4 linked regions of the Nothobranchius furzeri genome follow. The protein of the gene in region 4 purifies or fractionates together with the protein of the main gene of each other region. This does not show direct contact. Links are inferred from orthologs where the notes say so. Each region holds a gene or a part of one and is shown on either strand. Other genes may lie near its edges. The genes, in order: rtraf, atxn2l, nufip2 and fam98a.

Region 1 (5,281 bases), on a different chromosome or scaffold from region 4:
TAATTGTCTATTATTTACGTTTAGCAGGAGAAAAAGGGTTGACCATAAGAAAAAATAACGGATATTTGTGAATTATAAATTGATTTTATTTGCTGTAGACTTATACCTGCGAAAACAAATAAGTTTCTATTGGATAATTTACAATAATAAAGAATTGATATAAATAAATATTTTACAATAAGAAATGCTTAATAGAAAAGGGCAATCATATTTCAAATATAGTTTAAGATAACTTTTCTTATTCTGTAAAAAAATTGTAATTTCTGTTTTTGGGTTCAGCCTAATAAAAACATTTTTCCCACATGTGCATTAAAAGGTTGCAGAAAAGTTCACTAAATTTCTTAATCAGGAACCAGATGGCAATCTTAAAAAGCCATTTCTTTCTATCAGCTGTAGGTACTTATTACGGCCACCAGGGGGCAGCGAAGACTCACTTCGGAACTCACTTTGCCCTGATGAAAACTTTCAAAATAAGGTTTATGTAAAAAAAAAATCCAGTTGAATCATTGAAATAACACTGACATTTACATCAGTTATTCTAAATGTGTTCATATATTTAAATCACATGTAAAGAATGTGATATTTATTTGTACTTTTGCTTATGTTTAACTTAGTTTTCTTGTTTCCTTCAGACCTGCCCCCTCCTCCTGAGAGTATTTACTACCAACAGTGGCCGACACCACAGAATAGAGGAATTTTCTAGAGGGAACGTTCCTTCCAGCGAGTTGCAAATCTACACTTGGTAAGACTTACAAACCATTACGTTTCTGGTATATGCTACAGAACCTCTGAAACAAGTGTTTGTTTACATCACAGGATGGATGCTACTCTGAAGGAACTAACTGGTTTAGTGAAGGAAGTGTATCCAGAGGCCAGGAAAAAGGGGACCCACTTCAGCTTTGCCATAGTCTATCCAGAACCCAGAGGGAAAATGTACAAGTAAGTGTCGAGCAACACAGATCGGGGTCGTAAAATCATACTATTGTTCATGAATTCCTGTGGACTGAGTTTGTGCATCTCTTTTTACAATGTTCAGGTTAAAAGAGATCGGCAGTACCATGTCTGGCAGGAAGGGTTTGGAAGACTCCATGACGCTGCAGTCCCAGCGGTTCCAGATTGGAGACTATTTGGACATAGCCATCACACCGCCCAACAGAGCCCCGCCCCTCAACCAACGCATGAGGCCCTTCTGAACGCACATGAAGCGATACATCTGTTTTTGGGTTCTCTTGAGTAGTTTAGCCTCATTTTATAATTCTTCATGTTTAATAAAGCTGTTTTTTCCCTATAGACTGTTGTTGAGTAGTTAATATCAATAATGTGTGTTTGTGAAGAGTTAATTTGCAAAAACAGACCAGTTTTGATCAAACATACCAAACTCACTTGAATGATAATCCTTAATTTAAAAAGTTTTTTTTTTTTTTTTTTTTGCAAATTTGTATAGAGACTTCTCTGTTTCGTTATATAAACTATGTATTTAAGTTAAGGTGCCATCTCCACATTTGACCCATCGCCATAGGGATGGGTGAGCTGTAATTATGGCTGTGCTCAGGAACCAGTTGGTGGTTTAACCCCCAATCCAACCATTTTAAAGTTGAGTGTCAAGCAAGGAGGCATTGGGTCCCATTCTTAAAGTCTTTGGTGTGACACGACTGGGATTTGAACCCCGAATTCCAGACAGGGCGGACACACTACCACTAGACCACTGAGCTGGTATTAAGTCATTTTAAAGAAAAAGATAGACCACGGATAACGTTATTTCAAGCTCTTTGGTGTCTACAAGCTTAAAGTAATGGACGTATGCTTCAACAAACTCAAATGTGGGTATTTGAAAAAGAGACAATGGCAAAGGTCCCCTTTTTCCTGGCCTCTCCATACACTTCCTTTACTAAACCAGTTCGTTCCTTCAGAGTAGCATCCATCCTGTGACGTAATAAGACACTTGTTTCAGATGTGAATTCGTTGTTAGCTCTTATTTTGGAAAGCACAACCGGAAATACTCAACTCCGACAACGCATGCGCGCTGCCGCACACTGAGCTAGCAACGTAGTGGTCATTTAAGGTTTAATTATTTAGAAACAACGAAGGGTTTCACATTAAAACTTCGTGAAATGTTTCGCAGAAAACTAACAGCTCTAGATTATCACGATCCCAGCGGGTTCGACTGCTCAGGTAAGCAATAAACAGGCTGTTTAGGAGGTTCGGTGAGTTTTAATGGAACCAAGTTAGCACGAAGTCCTGAGGCGGCGAACTAAACGCTACAAATAGACTATTTTAAGGTTGTGCTCAGTTTTAGTAGCACACGTGTTTTATCAGCTTTAATATCTTCATAAATCAATCAAAAACACACCACATGTGTATTCGGCATTAATATTTGTAAGATAGCTTCATTTCTAGGGATGTATTTTGCTAGTCTAGCAGACTAAACGATGACCGTGTGTCTCATTGGGCTATATTTATCAGTTAAACAGCTGGACTCCTTTGCTTCACTAATTATCAGAGTGTATAACAGCAGATGGTGATTAAAAAAATTATGTGTTTTCATAAAACCAGTAAAATAGTGACGCATCCGCTTTTGTCAGATGAAACTCACTTCAGAAACTGCATCGTGTGGCTGGAGGACCAGAAGATCCGACACTACAAGATCGAAGACCGGGGCAACCTTAGGAACATCCCCAGCTCTGAGTGGCCCAAAGCCTATGAGAAGGTGAGACTATCTCAGAGCTTATCTCCTAACAAGAGTCCCAACTAGAGCTTACGTGTGTGTGTGTGTGTGTGTGTGCGCGTGTGCGTGCGTGTGTGTGTGTGTGTGTGTGTGTGTGTGTGTGTGTGTGTGTGTGTGTGTGTGTGTGTGTGTGTGTGTGTGTAGTACCTGCAGGACCTGACCTGTCCATTTGGAGTCCAGGAGCGTAAGGAGGCTTTGGACTGGTTACTGGGGCTGGCTGTGCGTTATGAATATGGAGACAACGGTATCTGATGTGATCGTTTATCTGTAAAAACCTCCTAAAATGATATTTATTCAGAAATCACAGCTTTGATGTGGCGTGTCAATGGTTGAAATACCGACCACGACCAATAGAGGGGGCCATAACAAAGGAAATAATGCCAACACGCATAGAAAGCTGAATTATAATTAGGTTATTATATGATGGCGTTTTTTCCTTATTCTGGGTGTTTTGTTTTGTAGTTGATAAGTATAAAAACTGCCCGCCGCTGGCCGCTTCGGGGAACGGCGACAGAGCCGTGGATCCTCTCATCAACCTGGACAGTAAGCAGGAACACATCTTTGCTGTTACTACCTTTTAACGTTTCATTCATCACCTAAAGGTCTAATAAAAAATAAATACATTTCAGGCAGTTCTCCAGATTTTAAAGCAGGAGTCACCGCTCTGGCGAACATTCTAAAGATCCAACGACACGACGATTACCTGGTCATGCTCAAGGTGAGCTGTATGCGTGTCTACATCATCCCTGAATGTGCTCAAGTTGTTTACTTTGTGACGTTTCCTAATGTTTTCACTCGGCAGGCTATCCGCATCCTGATCCAGGAGAGACTTTCACCAGAGGCCATCACAAAAGCCAACCAGAACAGAGAGGTACACGTTACACTGTAAAACAGCAACAAACTAGTCAATTAAACAGAAATGGTAGAATTAGCTAAAATGGTCAAGAAAATGACCTTATTAGTCTTGAAGATAACGTTAAACATTTTTCTGTGTTTCTGTGAACAGTTAGTATCTTACCAGCTGTAGGGAGTTCTTTGAATGGCCTCAGTTTGGAGAAAGAGTTTGCAATTTTTAAAACGCTCTAGTTAAAAATATATCAGTTATTAAATAATAATAATAATAATTTACTAGGGTTGTCAGAAAATATTGATATGGCAATATATCGTGATATTTTTTTCAGTGATATATCGATTTTCAAAAGTGGTGTATCGAAAATATCGATATCGCAATATATTGCGGTATAGTTTTCTGCGATATATCGATATTCAAAAGCAGTGTATCTAATTTTTGGAAGAATTTACATACAAACATTTGTGTATTTTCATTTCTTTTGGTGCAATTCAAACGCCGATCACTAGTTGGCAGCAGTGTGCCAGTGGGTTTTGTTTCCACCGTTGAAATGCAAATCCCTCCATTATGGTTCAGATACCTCATGTTAAACATGTTAGTATCGGTTTGGATTGTTTGTTGAATTTCACTATGATAAATTCAGTCTAAAAAAAGTCGTTAATATCGAATGTATCGCAATATATCGTGATGTATTGTATCGTCTTCCCTGTATCATGATGTGTATCGTATCGCCGTAATTTCACCAATACACACCCCTATTATTTACACACATGGTGCTTCTGGCTGGCTTTTCATAATATTTCTGCTTAAACAGTTGTCCTCAATTCTTTTCAGTGATGTCAAGGTACGTGTTGAATATGGCTTCTACTTACGTGGACTCTCAAGCCGCCCCGCCTCACTAATTGAGAACCACTGTGCTAGATTAACTACAAAACATGACATTTATGACAGTATTAATTGTAAAAAAGTATTTGCATGATTTAGAGATTGTAGTTATTTTAAGACATTTTATAATTAGCCTCATTTTGACTAGCTGCTAGCTTGTCACAATTAGCTAATCTCCATTTCTCTAAACTGAGGGTTTTCAAAGGCCTTTCCACAACAACTAGACGACATTTAACCAGAAACACTCTTCAGAAGTCCTGAGCTGTTCTATGATTTTTTTTGAGTGTACACACTATAAAAATGTCACGTGAAGTCTTTATTTATTTATTTTCTTAGCCCATGTTGTTTCATTTAAATCGATGATCAGTAAATCTGAAAGAAAACATTTTGTTCTGGATCACCTTCAGCTTGTGATTCTGATCTTTAAGCTTCATACTTTCTCTTTTGTCCCCAGGGAGTCCCGGTGGCTTTAGACAAACACGTTTTGGGTTTTGACACTGGAGGTGAGTTTTTGTGTTTGGCTACCACAACACCCATCGGTGTAGAAGAGAAAAACTGACCTCCGTGGTTCTCCGACCTCAGATGCGACCCTGAACGAGGCGGCCCAGATCCTGCGCCTGCTGCACATCGAGGAGCTACGAGAGCTGCAGACAAAGATCAACGAGGCCATCGTCGCCGTTCAGGCCATCATAGCCGACCCAAAGACGGACCACAGGCTGGGCAAGGTCGGCAGATGAGGAGGAAGCAAAGGACTGATGGAGATTTTATTTTTATTTAATTTTGAGAACAAAGGCCCTTCTTGTTTGCTGGGATGGTTAAAG
Region 2 (4,694 bases), on a different chromosome or scaffold from region 4:
CTAAAGCGCAAACAAACGCGGTCGCTATCTCTTCCGAACTGGGAAACATGTTGTTGTTTTCACGGATACCTGATCAAGAAGAACCGGAAATGACGCATATTGCGTCTGGACGCAGTCCATACGTCCTGACGCTACCCCAACGTCCGCATTTACATCGGGTTATGCAAGTTAAAGGTAACTCTTTCTATTTATGCTAGTAAACGGGTTATTCTGATCAACTCACAAACCCAAATACCGACCTTAACCCGACCATAACCCGGATATTGGCTGCATGTAAACGTAGTCACTGGTAGATGTTTTTGTCCATGCCCTGACTACTCACAGCTGTTCTGTTAGGGGGAGGGGAGGATCTACCTGATTACCCCCCCCCCCCCCCCCCTTATACAACACTTTGAAGTCAGGATGGTGTGAAACAGCTAAACCAGAATGGGGGGGCTGATGGACAATGACTCATCTTTGAGCTGCTAACACCAGGTAGTCACAGCTAATTTGGTGAGTATGTGTGAAGTGGAGGGAGGCGACTTCTGACCAACAAAGCTCCTGCCACTGTTGCATCTGCAGCCCTGGCTCTGACACGTCTCTGGTATGCAGGGGTGTGCAAAAGGAAACGGTGTTGGCTTCGTTTGCGGAGCGGAGGATTTGTAACGTGCTGTATTCAGATTCAGGAGGGGAAGCTAGGCTTCATTTTGGGTTTCTGTGCACCAGCTGGTTTTCATGGTTGGACCGCAGGTCGGCTTGTTTGATGACCTCTGTTTCTCTCTTAGAGAGGTAAAGTACATCCCACTACCCCAGCGTCAGAGAGAGATGAACCGGGAGCGAGGTCCTGGTGGACCTTCTCCACACAATCGTCTCAGTGGATGCCACCGCTCCACTCCTGCGCCCTCGTCATCATCGTCCCCAAGACCCCCCCTACCCTCTGGTGCTGGCCCCCAGCCTGGGGTCTCCCCCTCAGAGAGAAACAGCCCTCTGTCAAGTCGAGGTGGGTCATACGTTCCCCATCACTCACAAGGGAGCCCGAGCCCTGGCTCTGGTCCTGCAAGCCCGTACACCCCTGCCTCTCCTGGACAAGCGTCCACGCCAGCTTCTGCTTCTACCGCCACATCCCCATCCAGTCCCCCCGCCCCCCATGGACACGCAGTTCCTCATTCCCACTCACTGTCGCTGTCTGACACCGGCAGACCCGTTAATGGAGGTGAGTCGTGTGTCTGACGGTTGAGCTGCTGGTTCTCCTTCATGTAGCTCATACAGATGATCTGCCTTGCAGTCTCTACTAGAACGTCCCCCAAAACCCAAAGACCTCCACAGTCCAGCAGGACGAACCGCGCTTCAAACTCACACTCTCAGCCCACAGGTAACCTCCATGCAGTCTTTATTATCATTTGAGCGCTGAATTCAGCCCCGGATCTTAATCTGAGTATTTGTTACCATCTGTTGTTGCAGCCACTCGTTCCCCTAAGTCAGGCTCCTCCCAGGACACGTCTTACTTGGACGCTTCGCTTGTCCCCCTACCTGCCCAGAAGACATCTGGCCCTGCCCCAACCTTCCCTGTGGATGGTAATGTCTCCCACTGGGCTTTTACTTTAGTGTTTATTTAAGGCTGGGATCTATGAAGTCCTATAAATATTAGATTTTTATTGTTTTCTTATTGCAGTGAATGAAATCCTTGGTGCAGCTGCAAAAGAGCGCTGTGCAGAGAGCCCGAGCAGCACGGAGGACGGCAAAAACAGCAAAGGTGTGTGTTTTAGAACAAACCCAAAAATAAACAAAAACAACAACATTAGCAGCTGCAGGCCAGGAGTGAATTATTGTGGTTTATTTTCAGCTTCTTGTTTTGTCTTCTCTCCATCAGCACCGTCGATCCAGCAGCGGTCTCAGATAGAAGAGCTGCGAAAATTTGGCAAAGAATTCAGGGTAAGTCTTTCTTATTTAGTTAGACGTTAATAGATAAATTCCTGATCAGAAGAGAGACCAACGTGTTTCGTGTGAAGTCGGAGAAAGAGAGTCTGGAACTTTAGCTTTGGATCCGTAGCTTCTGTTCCTGCAGGGCTGCTGCTGCTATGATGTTTATTTGTAGTATTTTAATGCTGTAGACCTCATCCTGCTGGGGACGTCTCACTCAGAAACTCGGGCTGTGTTGAAAAAATAGATTCTCATAAATATTCATGAGTATCGATTCGTATGTCCAAAGATGGGTTTAACCCTTTAAGCGCCAAAGTTGCAAAATAGCATCAAATGTCATTGCTGACATTTAACAAGCAACAGCTGCAACTATGGTCCCTCATGAAGTTCCTGCTTTATACCAGAAGGTAGTGGAGATGTCCGTCTTCAGCCTGAGCAACACTTATGGGTGTGTTTGTACTGAAAGTGTTGGAAGAGTTTTTAGAGCTTGAAAACTGTCGCCCACCAAGAGGCTCGGGGAGGAGGAGGGGGCGAAGGCGGTGGGTGCAGCTTCAGCTTTTGGATGATTCTTAATGTGTTATTTGTAATGATGCCCTGTGTTTGTGTTCATTGATGCAGTCATTGACTCTTGTTGCGCCCTCTGTTGGCTGTCCTGGATCTGTTTGCTAATCCTGCTATTGGGCCATGCAGCCGTTTTAACTTGCCAGTATTTCATTTATTTGTTGTTGAATGTTAATAGTGTTAATATACTACACAACTACATAGTCATGTAATTAAGGTAACGGCAAAAGGGAAGAGTTCGTTGGCCCAAATCGACATATCGGATCCAATCGCAATAACTGATTCTAAATCTTGAGAAACGGATCAGTTGTTGAAATCAGCTCTATCAGAAACCCGTCGAGGGCTCTAACCCTAACGAGAAAGCCAACACTCTTCATAAATAACACAAATAATGTCATGAAAACTCTGATTGCCTTCCAGCTGCAGCCGAGTGGAGGCAGCTCCAGTTCTCCCACTTCTCCTGCAGCAGCAACACCTCCCTCTGTCGGTGACATCACCCAGCTGGCCACAGCCAAGCCTCCATCGTCAGACCCTGCTTCAGAGGCTAAGTCTCAGCCTGCAGCTCCCAGTCCGTCTCAGCCTCAGCTGCAGCATTCGCCGGCTCCTGCGGACGAACCCAAGGACGCAACAACCACGCTGGGTTCTGCATCCGCCGCTGCCACGGCACTCGTTTCAGACAGGCAGTCGCCTGCAACCCCTCAGCCAGCCAGGACCCCAGGAAGTGAGGATGTACGGTCTGAGACGACGGAGCGGACGGAGGGTCTGCCAGAGTGAGTTTTAAACAGGATTGTTGGTTCTAATGATTCAGACTTTTGATTCTTCTCTGCATGTTTTTACTGACGTGAGTGTTGTTGTCTCGTAGCCAAGTGAAGAAATCAACTTTAAATCCAAACGCTAAAGAGTTCAACCCCATTAAACCTCAGATGCCCATGGTGAGTCACTTCCTCAGATCTGCTCAAATAAAACACGTGTGATGCCCTTACCTTCAGTCCCTGTAGCTGATGTGATCAGTCCGTTTCCATCTCGCAGACTAAACCCAACACAGCACCCACCCCACCCCGCCCTACCCCCCCGAGCCCGGTGGTCCTGCAGCACCCCGGAGGCCAGGCGCCGCTCTACAACGCCCCCTACCTCCAGTACGTCTCTCAGATCCACACTGTACAGGTAAGTTAGCTAAAGATGGTTCCTGCTACCAATGTGGGATGAAAGCAAGTGGTTTACAATTAATTCCATCTTTTCTCACCCCCAGCCCCCACCAATGTACCAGTACACCATGCCCACCGTCACCCAAGGAAAATACGCCAGGGCCAAAGGTCATTCTTTTCTCCATTTACAAAGTTTGTGTTTTTTCTCTTGAATTACTTATCTTCCTGTATCTGTGACCTTTGTCTTGTGGCCTCTGTACGTGACCTGCTCTTGCCTTTATTTCATCACAGGAAACACTTTTCTGATCATTCTGTCCTCTCACCAGGATCCGTCGTGGCGACGCGCTCTGATCATGGTGCCACAGCACCACAGATGCTTCAGGCCGCTGCATCAGCAGCCGGAGCTCCTCTGGTGGCGTCGCCCTACCCTCCATCTTATCTCCAGTACAACCCACAGCAGTACAGCCAGCAGCAGGTCATTCAGGCCATGACGCCCTACCCTGGACAGGTAGAGACTCTGGATGTAAACCGTTACCAGAAACTCCCAAATGCATCATCTGGGTTTCTCTTAGCTAATGAGGTTTTTATCTCTCCTCCACCGTAGCCCATGTACTCCATGCTCCAGGGTGGAGCAAGGATGCTAGGTCAAGGTGGTGGTCATCCACAAGCCCTGGGACCACCTGGAGGCCCTCAGTTCCCTGCACAGGGAGATGGGCCCCAGGGACCACAGCAGGGCATTTATGGTGAGCAGTGGTGGATTAGAAAATAACAGTCCTAGCATGGAGTCATCTTTAACCCTGTCCTCTTGTTTCTGCGTTACCTGCAGCCCCTCAGTCATTCTCTCATCATTCGGGTGCCGTTCATCAGCCGCAGCCTTCTAGCACCCCAACAGGAAACCAACCCCCACCCCAGCACGCTGCACCCAGCCCCGGACAGGTACCCCCACTCCCCACCCCCAAAGTGTTTAGGCTGCAGACTTGCATTCTTTACAGCAAAGGGTGATGCAGTTGGACACTCTGTGTGTCTGGTTTCATCTAATTTCATTTGGATGTTTTTGTTTGTGGTTTATTTCTACAGTGATTTTATCAA
Region 3 (5,471 bases), on a different chromosome or scaffold from region 4:
CTGTCCTGATTCATCACAAGGAGGACGCTGCAGAGGCAGCTTGGACCCATATCACAGGTTCTGAGAGGTTCTGCTGAGGAACCAACGTCTCCTTAAGGCTATGGTGCCTGTCTGCTGCAACAGGTCCACTATCACGGTCCAAAAAGAATCAGTTGCACAACCATCTAGAGTAGGAGTCTGCAACATTTACAATCCAAAAAGCCGTTTTTCTCCTCAAACTTTGTTTAGAGCTAAAAAGGAGTTTAGAGCGTTAGTGGTGGTCAGAGGGGCCGACGGCGCCAAATGGCAGCCTCGCCTCTGTCAGACCTCCCCAGGGCGGCTGTGGCTACAAGTAGCTTACCATCACTAGCAGTGTGTGAATGTGAGAGTGTGTGAAAGCGTCTTTGGGGGTTTTGAAAAGCGCTATATAAGTTCAATGCATTATTATTATTATTATTATTATTATTATTATTATTATAACAGGAAGTGTGGGTGGAGTAAGACTGGTAGTAAGGTGACTGACTTCAAACTTGCATTTTTATTTTATCCACACATTATTTCTTTATCATTTCTTAGAGGCTGACTGCTTAGTAGTGCATTACATAATATGGTTAAAGCTGTAATACTTTGAATAATAGTTTATTAAAGCTTAATAATGCACTACGTAACTTAATAAATGGATCCTTATTGTAACGTTTTACCAAATTTACATTTCATTACAACCTAACTGCTGAAAATAAATAAAGGATACAAAAAAAAATCTAATTCCTTTTTTTGTGTGAAACTTAAAGTGCTAAACAAATTACTTCCCTAAAATTTGTTGATACATCTAAAACTAAGAAATGGATTAAAATAAATACGAATGCTTTAGTACTTTTAATGTTTTAATTTTCAGTCAGAATAAGCTGTTAGTCAGAAATATTAACATGCTTTTTAGGTGCTTTACACTAAATCCACACTTCCATGAATTCCTTTCTAATCTAAAATTTCACTAAAACTTTTTCTCTGAGTTAATAAAAATATCACAGCAGAAAATGCATCTTAAACCCCTCGATATCTGCCAGAACACCGTTTTTATTTTAAAGATACTGCATGTCTGTGCCCTGGAGAGAACCCTTTCACTAAAACCTGTCGTTTAAAAAATAAAACCTGCCTTTAAATGAAGCAGTCATATGAATATTTTATGTCAAAGTAGCAGTCACGTGCACATTTTAAAGGTGAAGTAGGGCTGCACATATCAGCAAAAAGTGTCAGGCTAAAACAGGCGTGGTCTATTTTACTATAGATACTTAACTTTCACAGTTTTCAGACATCAGTTGAGACATGTTGAAAAAAGAAAGAAATGGTAGAGCTAAATTATATACGTGTGGGTTTTATTCTGAGTCCAGAGACAATGGTGAAGTTAGGTGATTCATTTGTCCTTGTGTTTCCTTTCCTGCTCTAAAGCGAGATTAGAAAATTATATGTTTAGCCGCTAGAGGGAGTCACTGGCGCGACTATTTAATTATTACAACTACCACAAGACAACAAAAATATAATAATAATAATAATAATAATAATAATAATAATAATTATTATTATTATTATTATTATTTCATAATTACCGTTGAATAAATCAAAGCAATACATAAATAATATTGATATGCTGTCTATCAAATAATCAGTGTTTTTATTCCTTAAATGTGGCTCTGTGTGATTCCAGCCAGGTAAAGCATGTAAAAATAAAAATGTGCATGATTTTACAAACACGTCAATTTTTCTTATAATAAGCTGATCATATATGCATTAGGCAGCAGCAAGAAAATTTTGTATAACGCAAATAAATTAACTGCTTTTCCATTTTTGGAGGGGGCTGGTCTCTTGTGACCCTAATGTGTCAACTAGCTGGAGACGTGGCAGCGCCTCGGGTCATATGATTTAGGCTCTTCCACGAACCCCACCCCGTTATTTCACACTCCATATATATATATATATATATATATATATATATATATATATATATATATATATATATATATATATATATATATAATTTGAAATCACTCCCGTGTTATCCTAAACTTCTACGTGTGCGCACATTTTAAAGTCTTATGAAATACTCTTTAAGCACCTAGGAGTTGATTCTAAAGGTGGGTTTCAGAGGAGTGACCACCCAAAACAGGGCCATTTTTAGACATTTTACTGCTGACGTTTACAGAGGCTTCAAATAGCTTCCGTTTGACTCTGGTAGTGATTGGACTGAGAGCTAATAACACACAGGCGGAACGCGTCCGACATTCTTCACTTCAATGGAGGAACAGCCCAAAGATCGGGCACAAGACAGGCACTACCACCACCACGGGGAGGACAGGAACTCTACTCAACGCACAGCTTGTCTGAAAAATGATCAGAGCCACTTCCAGTGCCAGCATCAGGAAACGCAGACGAAGAAAACAGGTCGGGCCGCCCTGAAAAGTCGGCTAATGTCAATGAGCCGACTAGCATTCGCTAGCTAACGTAACTGGGAGCCAGCTAGCTCCTAGCTGCTGCCCCGAATAGTTTTGAGGACGGGCGGAGCAGCTGGTTAATCAGACAGATAGTCAGCCAGTGTCACACGAGAAACCACACATTATACTCGCTATCTGCTGACGTTGCGTGAGCGTTGTCGCTGCTGGTGGTTTGACAGATCGCAGATTGACCTTGTGCGCCGGTGCCGTGCCGAAAAAAAGAACCCTTTATTAATTTTTCTAATATAAATGTAGATACTTGTGTCCTCAGCGGTCCAGAAAAACACGAGGAGGTATGTCATTTGTAACTTTTACTCGGTGTATTGGTAAAAGAACATACCTTGGGATTAGCTTTCTGCGCTAAGAGTGCTAGTGATGGCAGGGGCGCTTTTTTTCGGCACAACACCGGTTTCACCGCCTAATTTTAAATGGCTTATGTAGCTGAATATGTTCTAAAACACCGCTTATGTCCCTCTGTATTCTAAACAAAACAACTCTTCTGTAACAGTGGCCTAAATTGTACTGATGTTATTCCAGTTAGCTCTGTGCAGTGTAGGAAACCGAGCCGGCTCCGCTGGAATGTTCTGTGCAGCCATTTCCGGTCGGCCATGTCAGAATATCACAGTTAGCTAACGCAACACTAACCGGCTAGTTAGGAAAATATGGACAACAACGACACGGTGGACGTTTTTTTACGCGTCATTGTCGACCGGTACTGTGGTGTTATCGTTGTCCGCTACTAGCTAGGCGATATTAGCAGACATTAGCCATTTGACAGGCCCTTTTGAATGTTGTCTGGAGAAGCCACGCAGCTGATCAGGCTCTGTCAGCATTAAGCGAACGTAAGCTGACAGTCGCTGTAAAATGTACATTTGCTAAATGAAACTAATTGTTTTGGCTGTGACAGGAATGTGAGGTGTGTTGTGCCAATAAATGTTACTGGGGTGGAGAAGCACTGTGGAGTAGGAAGTCCCACGTTGACACAGCACTTCCCACGAATCTGAGCCTTCAGAGGCCTAGTCATGATGCTTCACTGTAAATCTGTGCTTCCTGTATCCATCCACCTTTCCTATGCGGTGTGCCATTAATACATTGTGATAATTGTAGCATAATAAGTGTTTGGCTAATCTTAAAACATCACTTTCCAAGAAACTGCAAACCATAAACGTATAGTTGTTAGATTTTGTGGTGTCTGTAGAGTCCTATCATTTCCACATCGTCTTATTTTCTTTCCTTTTTTTTTTAGGCAATAAAAAATTAAACGTTGGCGACGAGGAAGGAGAGAGGAATCTACGTCTGTCTGATCCTGTTGGTATGTCGCTTCCTTCCCACGGCAATGGTAACAAACATGCGCACAACGCCAGTCTAAAGCAAAAAGGGGCGCAGAAGCTCTACACGCCTGCTCCAAAAGCGAGCAGCAAATTTCTGGACCGTAAGAAGAATATGGACTTTAAAAATGACAAGGAAAAGACTCTGGATTTGACTCACGATGACCTCCAGAGCTTGGATAAGAAAGACTCTGTTTTGCTTCACAACGGTGTCGTAAATTGTGGCTTCATTACAAATGGCTATTCTAGCAGGGACAATGATGGCAGCGGATCCGAAGGCGGGTACACCACTCCGAAGAAACGCAAGACCAGGTGTAACAATGCCAAGAACACTGATAATGTGACAAAAGAAAAAGAGAGAGACATGCAGCCCCGCAACACTACACAGGAGCTGGGGGCTTTGAATCCTGAGGCGACTGAGAAAGGCAGATCTACCCAGTCTGCTGCCAAACGAGCTGTCGTTCCCGAGACTACAGTGGGGGAATCTCAAAGGAAAAACTCCGATGGCAAAACAGCTGGCACCTTTGGTAAGAAAACAGAGGAACGGCACAAAGGCAAACTCTCCTCTCCTTCAAAGGAGGACCCGTGGACTTTGTTCAAGCCCCCTCCCGTATTTCCTGTGGACAATAGCAGTGCTAAAATCGTTCCTAAGATCAGTTATGCAAGTAAAGTAAAAGAGAACCTCAATAAAGTAGCTCAAAGTGGAGAAGTGGTTCCTCCTCCCATGAGACTGTCTCAAGTCCCGATGTCTGCTATGAAAACTATCACCTCAGCTAGCTTTACTAATGGTCCTGTTTCTGGAAATGGAAACGGCTGCCCGTCTGCTGGCACCTTCTTCGTTCCTGCTGCTAGTTGTATTCAATCAGCCCTGTCTGTCCCAAGTGGCGAGAATGTAGCATCTTCTCTGGAAAGTAACTGTAGCTCAACAAGTCCTGTAGATGGAGACGCTAACGAGCTTAAAAAGTGTACTCTGTTAATCTACCCTTTAAATATGCAACCTGTGCTCCCTAGTGCTCGTCACCTCGACCCACCGGCTGCTAAGACAAATCAGAAAGCCCTGGGAGACATCTTCCAGAATCAGTGGGGGCTCTCTTTCATCAACGAGCCCAACCTGGGGCTGGAGGGAGGAAACGGGCATCCTCCTGCTGAGGACCAGACTTCTGGGACTTCTCCAAGTGAGAGTCAGACTGTTGAAGACAAGGTGGTCCTGCCGTGTTTTGATGTTAGCCCAATATTTGTAGAGCCTGGAACTTTGTTCAAAGACTCTGAGAGAAGGACTTGTGCCCCTTGCCAAGCGTCAAACGCTCGTTCTCCTGCTTTTGAGGAGGAGACAAAGTTCCCGCCATTTGGCCAGGACAAAACGAAGTTTGAGATCAAAGGTTCTTCTGTCTCGGCTCTTTGTAAAGACAATGGTGCTAAGCCTGTTCAGGGCCAGCAGACCACTGTGCTGTTTGGCTCTTCTAAAGAAGTGGTCCACCCGAACGACGCTAGCAGGAGGTGTAGCTGGGGGCCCTCTGACATTAAAGCTGCTGTCGCCTATCACACTAAAGGTAACGGTGTCCGCTTCTATCTGTAAAACATATTGGTGACAATATGGCGTCCTGTGAATGGGTAATAACTGGTGTGTGTGCCAACTAAACTAACCCCAGTTTGCTGTTATTTTCCAAGCTTTCCTCGT
Region 4 (5,310 bases):
GTGGAGAGATTTTAGAATTGGTGTAATGTGCTGTCTTCTGTCAACTCCAGTCAGGAACCTAGCTGCTATGAGTAATAAGACAGAAAAAGCCACGCCAAAATAAGTTTAGGAAGCCCACTAAGAATCGTAATAAAAGCATTTAAAATAAATACCATACACAGTTGAGGAAACGTTGGTTTAAGTACCTGATATGAAGCGGTCGCTGCATAAGCAAAAACCTTTACTCTCGGGATTCCACAGTTTCATTTTATCCGGTCACTAGCACGTTTTATCACAATGATCCAACGTTTGCGGCGCTCCGGATCTTGGGGAATCCTGTAGATGGCTCATCCCTTATGTCGTCCGTGTCTGTTCTGCATCCTGGGGCACAACAGGAATCTACCATATTTCCCGTTTGATTGAGTTTTCTGACAATAACAAATAGTCCAGCTGCCGGCTTCTGCCTGCCAAATGGCGCCGTTTCGATTTGAACTGTTGCATCCCGGGAGAAGTGACGTCAACTCCCGGAGCTCTATTCAGCCAAAGTTTCATAATCAGGGAACATTTTCTAAGTGACAAGTCTCTCTGAGAGACAGGGTTTGGAAAACACTCGCTTCAGTGGGAGGAATCTTCCCGCATGCACTCTGGTTCTCTGGGGTTAATCAAGTTTAATTGTTTCTCTTTGCAACAATCTTCACAGGAAGGCAAAACAGTTAAACGGCAGGTTACATATATTTCCATTTGACTGTTTATTTTGACAGATGAACTCAAGGATGTTGCTTGGTTTGAAAGAATTACCCCGACGCGCACTGATGCGCATGGATGAGCTGACATTTTAATCGTTAACGCACATCGCGGAGGTAAAATATTCCCATCAGAACATCAGAGCTTTATACTGGACACTGTGTTCAGCGTGGCTCCGAGCGCCCACGGTGGACAGTGAGCTGAAGATCTGGGGTTCGCAGCGCAGTGCAGCACCACGGCGCATGCGATAAGATTTCCTCCCACTGAAACAGTCTGGAAACCCGGTCTCTCTGAGGGATGTGTCACTTGGAAAAATGTTCTTTTTATGAAATTATGAAACTTTGGCTGAACAGCGCTTGTTCCCGTCTCTAATATGGAGACGCATGACGCGTAGAGACATTTGATCACGCACAAAGTTTATGTGGAGCAGAAGCGGTCGGGCCACGACAGGTGAAATGTTCCTAGCCTACATGAAGTGAAACTGTTTAATTGTAACATTAATATGTTACTGGACACGCTGGTCTGGTTGGTTAGACCAGTGTTTGAAGTGGAAACACACACACACACACACACACACACACACACACACACACACACACACACACACACACACACACACACACACACACACACACACACACACACACACACACAACAATTAAAATAATGCTGATAGCATGGACTAGAAGACAGGTGATGGGTTATGTATTTAAATGATGATCAGGCTGCTGTAAAATGTAATCTCCATCCACATCCAGACACAATTATCCTCTATTCTTTCTCTATTTGCTCTGCTCTTGTCTGGGCTGATGTAGCTGACGGTGCGCGCGTCGCGCCTAACTAGCGGCTGATGCACATTTTACGCATTTGGAGAGGTGGGCTGGACGCTTTGCTTTTACTGGAAGATGGTCCACTTAACGCACGGGTGTAGACTAAATATTAATGACAAATGAAAATTAAATTGTGAGTTTTTACTTCATATTTTATAAATAAAAAGGATGGGGGAACACATTTATGACGTCTTTTTAAACTAAATTTTCTACGCCTGCTTCACTTAAGTCACTGCTTATTAAGGTCCGTCCAAAATTACCATGGGAAACGGGTAATAATGGCTCTTTGATGGGAACAGGTTGCCGACCCCTGGTATAAGATCTGAGCTGGTAAAACAAAAATCCTCATCAGCAGGCATTTTTGAAAGTGGGGGGGACACAGCTGCCAATCACAAATTTTGCCGGGGACATGTCCCCGGCGTCCCCGGTTAAAATGACGCCTATGCTTGTATCTATACGTATACTTTAAAACTTTTCAATACATTTATTTTCTTTTTAACCTTTTTTATTTACCAGTACTGTGCAGATGAAAGAGGAAGTGGAACATCATTTCAGGCCTGAACCATCGACATATAAATATGGCCTGAACAAACGGATTTTGGTTTGACAGTACTGGCCCATGTTTACGCTCCCAACCGCTTGGTGGCGGTACTGGCGCTTCAGTGTGGCTCCCTGCTGCTAACAAACGTAGAAGAAGAACAAGAACAGGAAAAAAACCCAAACGTGTATCAGCTGAGTTGGATGTAAAATCTGTTTTTCACTCGTAGTTATTTGACGCAGATCGTTTAGATGGAGAATGACGTCCTCGTGTCTCTGGAGGATTTGGGGTGAGCAACAAAAACAACTTTTACCTCCGCCGTCAGTTTCCAGAGACCCGCGCCCACCCGTATATCCGGTTTTAGCTAGTCTGTCGGTCAGCGGGATCTTTCTTTAGCTAAAACGAGCTGCTCGTCCGTTTGCTATAACTGTGATTAATTGCCTCCGTCCCGGTGGAAACAGAGCTGAAAACCGGGTTTTACGTGGCATATGCAGCCAGCTGTGTCAGCACAAACCAAACCTGACGGCTGTCTGTCAGCTCGGGAGGATCCGGTTCTGGAAAACCGGGTCTGAGAGGAGCATTGAGTGTTAATGTGGATGCTAGCGAGCTGGAATGAGCCCGGAAGAGTCTGGTTCAACATCAAATCATCTCAGACATTTAGGCGCTGGTGTGTGTGTGTGTGTGTGTGTGTGTGTGTGTGTGTGTGTGTGTGTGTGTGTGTGTGTGTTGGGTTGGTGTGTAGGTACCAAGGCCCCCTGTTGGAGGACGGAGCTCTGGATTCTGCCGCCTCTGGAGGAGCAGCCTCTCCAGAGTTCACTAAGCTTTGTGCCTGGATCGTCTCAGAGCTGAGGCTCTACCTCAGACTGGAGGAGAACGTCCACGCCACCAACTGTAAGATGGCTTTTAATCCTGATGGATTGTGGATTCTCTCTTCCACACAGAGTCAAACTGATAAAAAACTGGCTTAACTACCTACAAACACCCCACCAATGTTTTGTTTAATTGGGTATTTTAAACCTCTTCATCATGTCAGCTCTCTGGTCTCACATTTCAGCTGTTATATTCTTGACAGTCTCAGTACCTTTCAGATAGAATCATTTCAGGGCTCTGTCACTTTAACCACGCCCACCCATCCTCTGATCGGGTGCTACAGGGCAAGGAGGTCATGTTGGATATCCTGGAGGGTCATCATTCTAATTGAAGACCCAACTGGGTCCATGTTTCAACCATTCAGGTGAAGTTGAAGAATCCGGGGGTGGTCCTCCCTCTCCTCTTTTGTGCACTAAAACCACAACATGATACCTCCGCCTCCATGCTTGACAGTTGGTACATCCATCTTCTCATTGTGGCAAAACAGCTCAATCTTCATCTAATTCGAACCTAGAACCTTTATCCGGAAGACATTTTTCTCGTCCATATGGACAGCAGCAGATTCCAGTCCAGCTCGAGGGCGGCCCTTCCGGAGCAGAAGCTTTTGCCTTGGTCTCCATATTGTGTGTAACTGGCTTCCCTGTGGACGGAGACTCTGGTGTTCCAGCATGTTCTAGTTCATGGTAGACTTCAGCCTTGATGTTCCTGAACATCAGAACCTCTTTCCTGTGATCTGAGTGGAGCAGATGGGAGTTGGTCATCATGATCACTGAAGGAAATCGGCCTTGACTTCATCGAGCTGAGACATTCTAGAATCGTCTGCTTCTTCTGGGTGGATGTATGTCAAGATTTTAGCTCATGGGTAACATTTGCCTGTTTGGAAGAGAGAAAAATGGGTTTAATAACTTTTCCGTCCTGGGAAATGAAGAGTGGATATTAATGGTTAATCTTACCCTGAGTCAGCTTCCTGTTTGAACTAAACTGTGGTGTTGACCTTCTACTTGCTGCAGGTCCAAGCGAGGCAGAGGGCTTCCAACTGGAGATGAGCGGTCTTTTGTCAGAGCTCGCCTGTCCTTACGCCGTCCTCACCAGTGGAGACATCACCCAGAGGTTCCTCAGGAGGATCGACTCTCTGCTGCTCCTCAGTATGAACCTTATAACATCTGGTCCGAATACAACAGACGTTTTTCTACCTTTACACCCGAGTTAAGGAGTTAAACTCACTCCATGTGTTGGTGCCACGCCCACCTGTGTCCACCCTCAGGTCATGTGACCTGCTGACATAACTATTATGGTGAACTGTTTCAGAAAATCTCAGTTAAAACTTGCTTTTAACATTTTCTGGTGTAAAATTAATCTTTTCTCTGTTACCACCGTGTTGGATGTCTTCTCTAGACAAGCTCAGCTTATCAATATTTCTTTATCTGACTGCACCATCTAGAGGTTGAAAACTGTATCACACCAGGAGCCTTCTCCACCTAATGTGTATTATGGCTGAAAGCAACGCCTCTCCTCCGGCAGCGCGCATCTCTACCCGGCCAACGGAGCTAAAACACGGTTTAGTCACTATTTTCACATTTTGCTCTCAAACATGTTTCAAAGACTTGTTGGTCAAGGAAGAACGTTGGCAGCTCTGCATCAGTGTAGGTACGTCTTTCAACGCTCGTGCTCTGTCTGTGATGGACATCTGTACGTAAGCGTATGTCTATCGCTGCTGGCTAATGCTGAACAGCACCTAGGTCATGATCTGCAGGATGGGGGACGGGCCTAGCAAAAATTAAAATGACATATTGTCTTCACAGAACGGGGTCAGACTTTCCCTTTTACGGAGTTCTAAACAATCATACATAATTCCTGAAAGGGGGAAACTCCGGATTGCAGCTTAATCTCCTAGTTTGAGTTGGAATGATGAACAAAGCCAGTCGTCTTTATAAGTGGTAAATGGTCTGTATTTGATACAGCGCCTTCTAGAGTCCTGGAACCCCCCAAGGTGCTTTACAACCCATTTCACACGCTGGTGGGGATGAGCTACGGTGTAGCCACAGCTGCCACGGGGCGCACTGACAGAGGCGCTACCGGTCCTTGCGACCACCACCAGCAGGCAAGTGGGTTAAGTGTCTTGCCCAAGGACACAACAACAGAGTGAGCGGGACTCGAACCTGCAGCCTTCTGATTACAGGGCGAGCTCTTAACTCCTGTGCTGCCGTCGCCCCAGAAGTTAAAGTGTTGATGTTTTATTCTTCGCTAGGTTCCTCCTCCTGGTCTTCTCTGATTTCTGCAGGTGTGGCGTTTCTCACAAGGAGCTGACTTACAGCATAATTCCTTCCTGTTTTTAAGGAATTGGTGCTT

Evidence for each region.
Region 1: the proteins of fam98a (region 4) and rtraf purify together in Homo sapiens (affinity purification with mass spectrometry; 4 studies listed by BioGRID and IntAct, with this or other methods). This does not show direct contact. The link is inferred for Nothobranchius furzeri from reciprocal best matches to the Homo sapiens genes FAM98A and RTRAF.
Region 2: the proteins of fam98a (region 4) and atxn2l purify together in Homo sapiens (co-immunoprecipitation; 3 studies listed by BioGRID and IntAct, with this or other methods). This does not show direct contact. The link is inferred for Nothobranchius furzeri from reciprocal best matches to the Homo sapiens genes FAM98A and ATXN2L.
Region 3: the proteins of fam98a (region 4) and nufip2 purify together in Homo sapiens (co-immunoprecipitation; 3 studies listed by BioGRID and IntAct, with this or other methods). This does not show direct contact. The link is inferred for Nothobranchius furzeri from reciprocal best matches to the Homo sapiens genes FAM98A and NUFIP2.

What each region holds. Positions count from the first base shown.
Region 1 is NC_091754.1:55,850,180-55,855,460, forward strand, and holds the start of rtraf (RNA transcription, translation and transport factor protein), read left to right. Parts: upstream 1-1,989; 5' UTR 1,990-2,111; coding exon 2,112-2,172; intron 2,173-2,582; coding exon 2,583-2,707; intron 2,708-2,869; coding exon 2,870-2,969; intron 2,970-3,187; coding exon 3,188-3,268; intron 3,269-3,354; coding exon 3,355-3,443; intron 3,444-3,527; coding exon 3,528-3,596; intron 3,597-4,914; coding exon 4,915-4,963; intron 4,964-5,042; coding exon 5,043-5,197; 3' UTR 5,198-5,281. Other genes in the region: histone deacetylase complex subunit SAP18, read left to right, coding at 633-742, 817-939, 1,037-1,193. UniProt on the Homo sapiens protein: RNA-binding protein involved in modulation of mRNA transcription by Polymerase II. Component of the tRNA-splicing ligase complex and is required for tRNA ligation.
Region 2 is NC_091756.1:34,765,811-34,770,504, reverse strand, and holds part of atxn2l (ataxin-2-like protein), read left to right. Parts: intron 1-764; coding exon 765-1,192; intron 1,193-1,264; coding exon 1,265-1,351; intron 1,352-1,440; coding exon 1,441-1,554; intron 1,555-1,651; coding exon 1,652-1,732; intron 1,733-1,849; coding exon 1,850-1,911; intron 1,912-2,880; coding exon 2,881-3,230; intron 3,231-3,322; coding exon 3,323-3,392; intron 3,393-3,489; coding exon 3,490-3,624; intron 3,625-3,709; coding exon 3,710-3,773; intron 3,774-3,931; coding exon 3,932-4,113; intron 4,114-4,209; coding exon 4,210-4,348; intron 4,349-4,431; coding exon 4,432-4,541; intron 4,542-4,694. UniProt on the Homo sapiens protein: Involved in the regulation of stress granule and P-body formation.
Region 3 is NC_091750.1:49,401,536-49,407,006, forward strand, and holds the start of nufip2 (FMR1-interacting protein NUFIP2), read left to right. Parts: upstream 1-2,171; 5' UTR 2,172-2,267; coding exon 2,268-2,415; intron 2,416-2,622; exon of another isoform or gene 2,623-2,758; intron 2,759-3,171; exon of another isoform or gene 3,172-3,307; intron 3,308-3,711; coding exon 3,712-5,343; intron 5,344-5,471. UniProt on the Homo sapiens protein: Binds RNA.
Region 4 is NW_027223037.1:4,130,835-4,136,144, forward strand, and holds the start of fam98a (protein FAM98A), read left to right. Parts: upstream 1-2,223; 5' UTR 2,224-2,342; coding exon 2,343-2,380; intron 2,381-2,833; coding exon 2,834-2,982; intron 2,983-3,971; coding exon 3,972-4,106; intron 4,107-5,310. UniProt on the Homo sapiens protein: Positively stimulates PRMT1-induced protein arginine methylation. Involved in skeletal homeostasis. Positively regulates lysosome peripheral distribution and ruffled border formation in osteoclasts.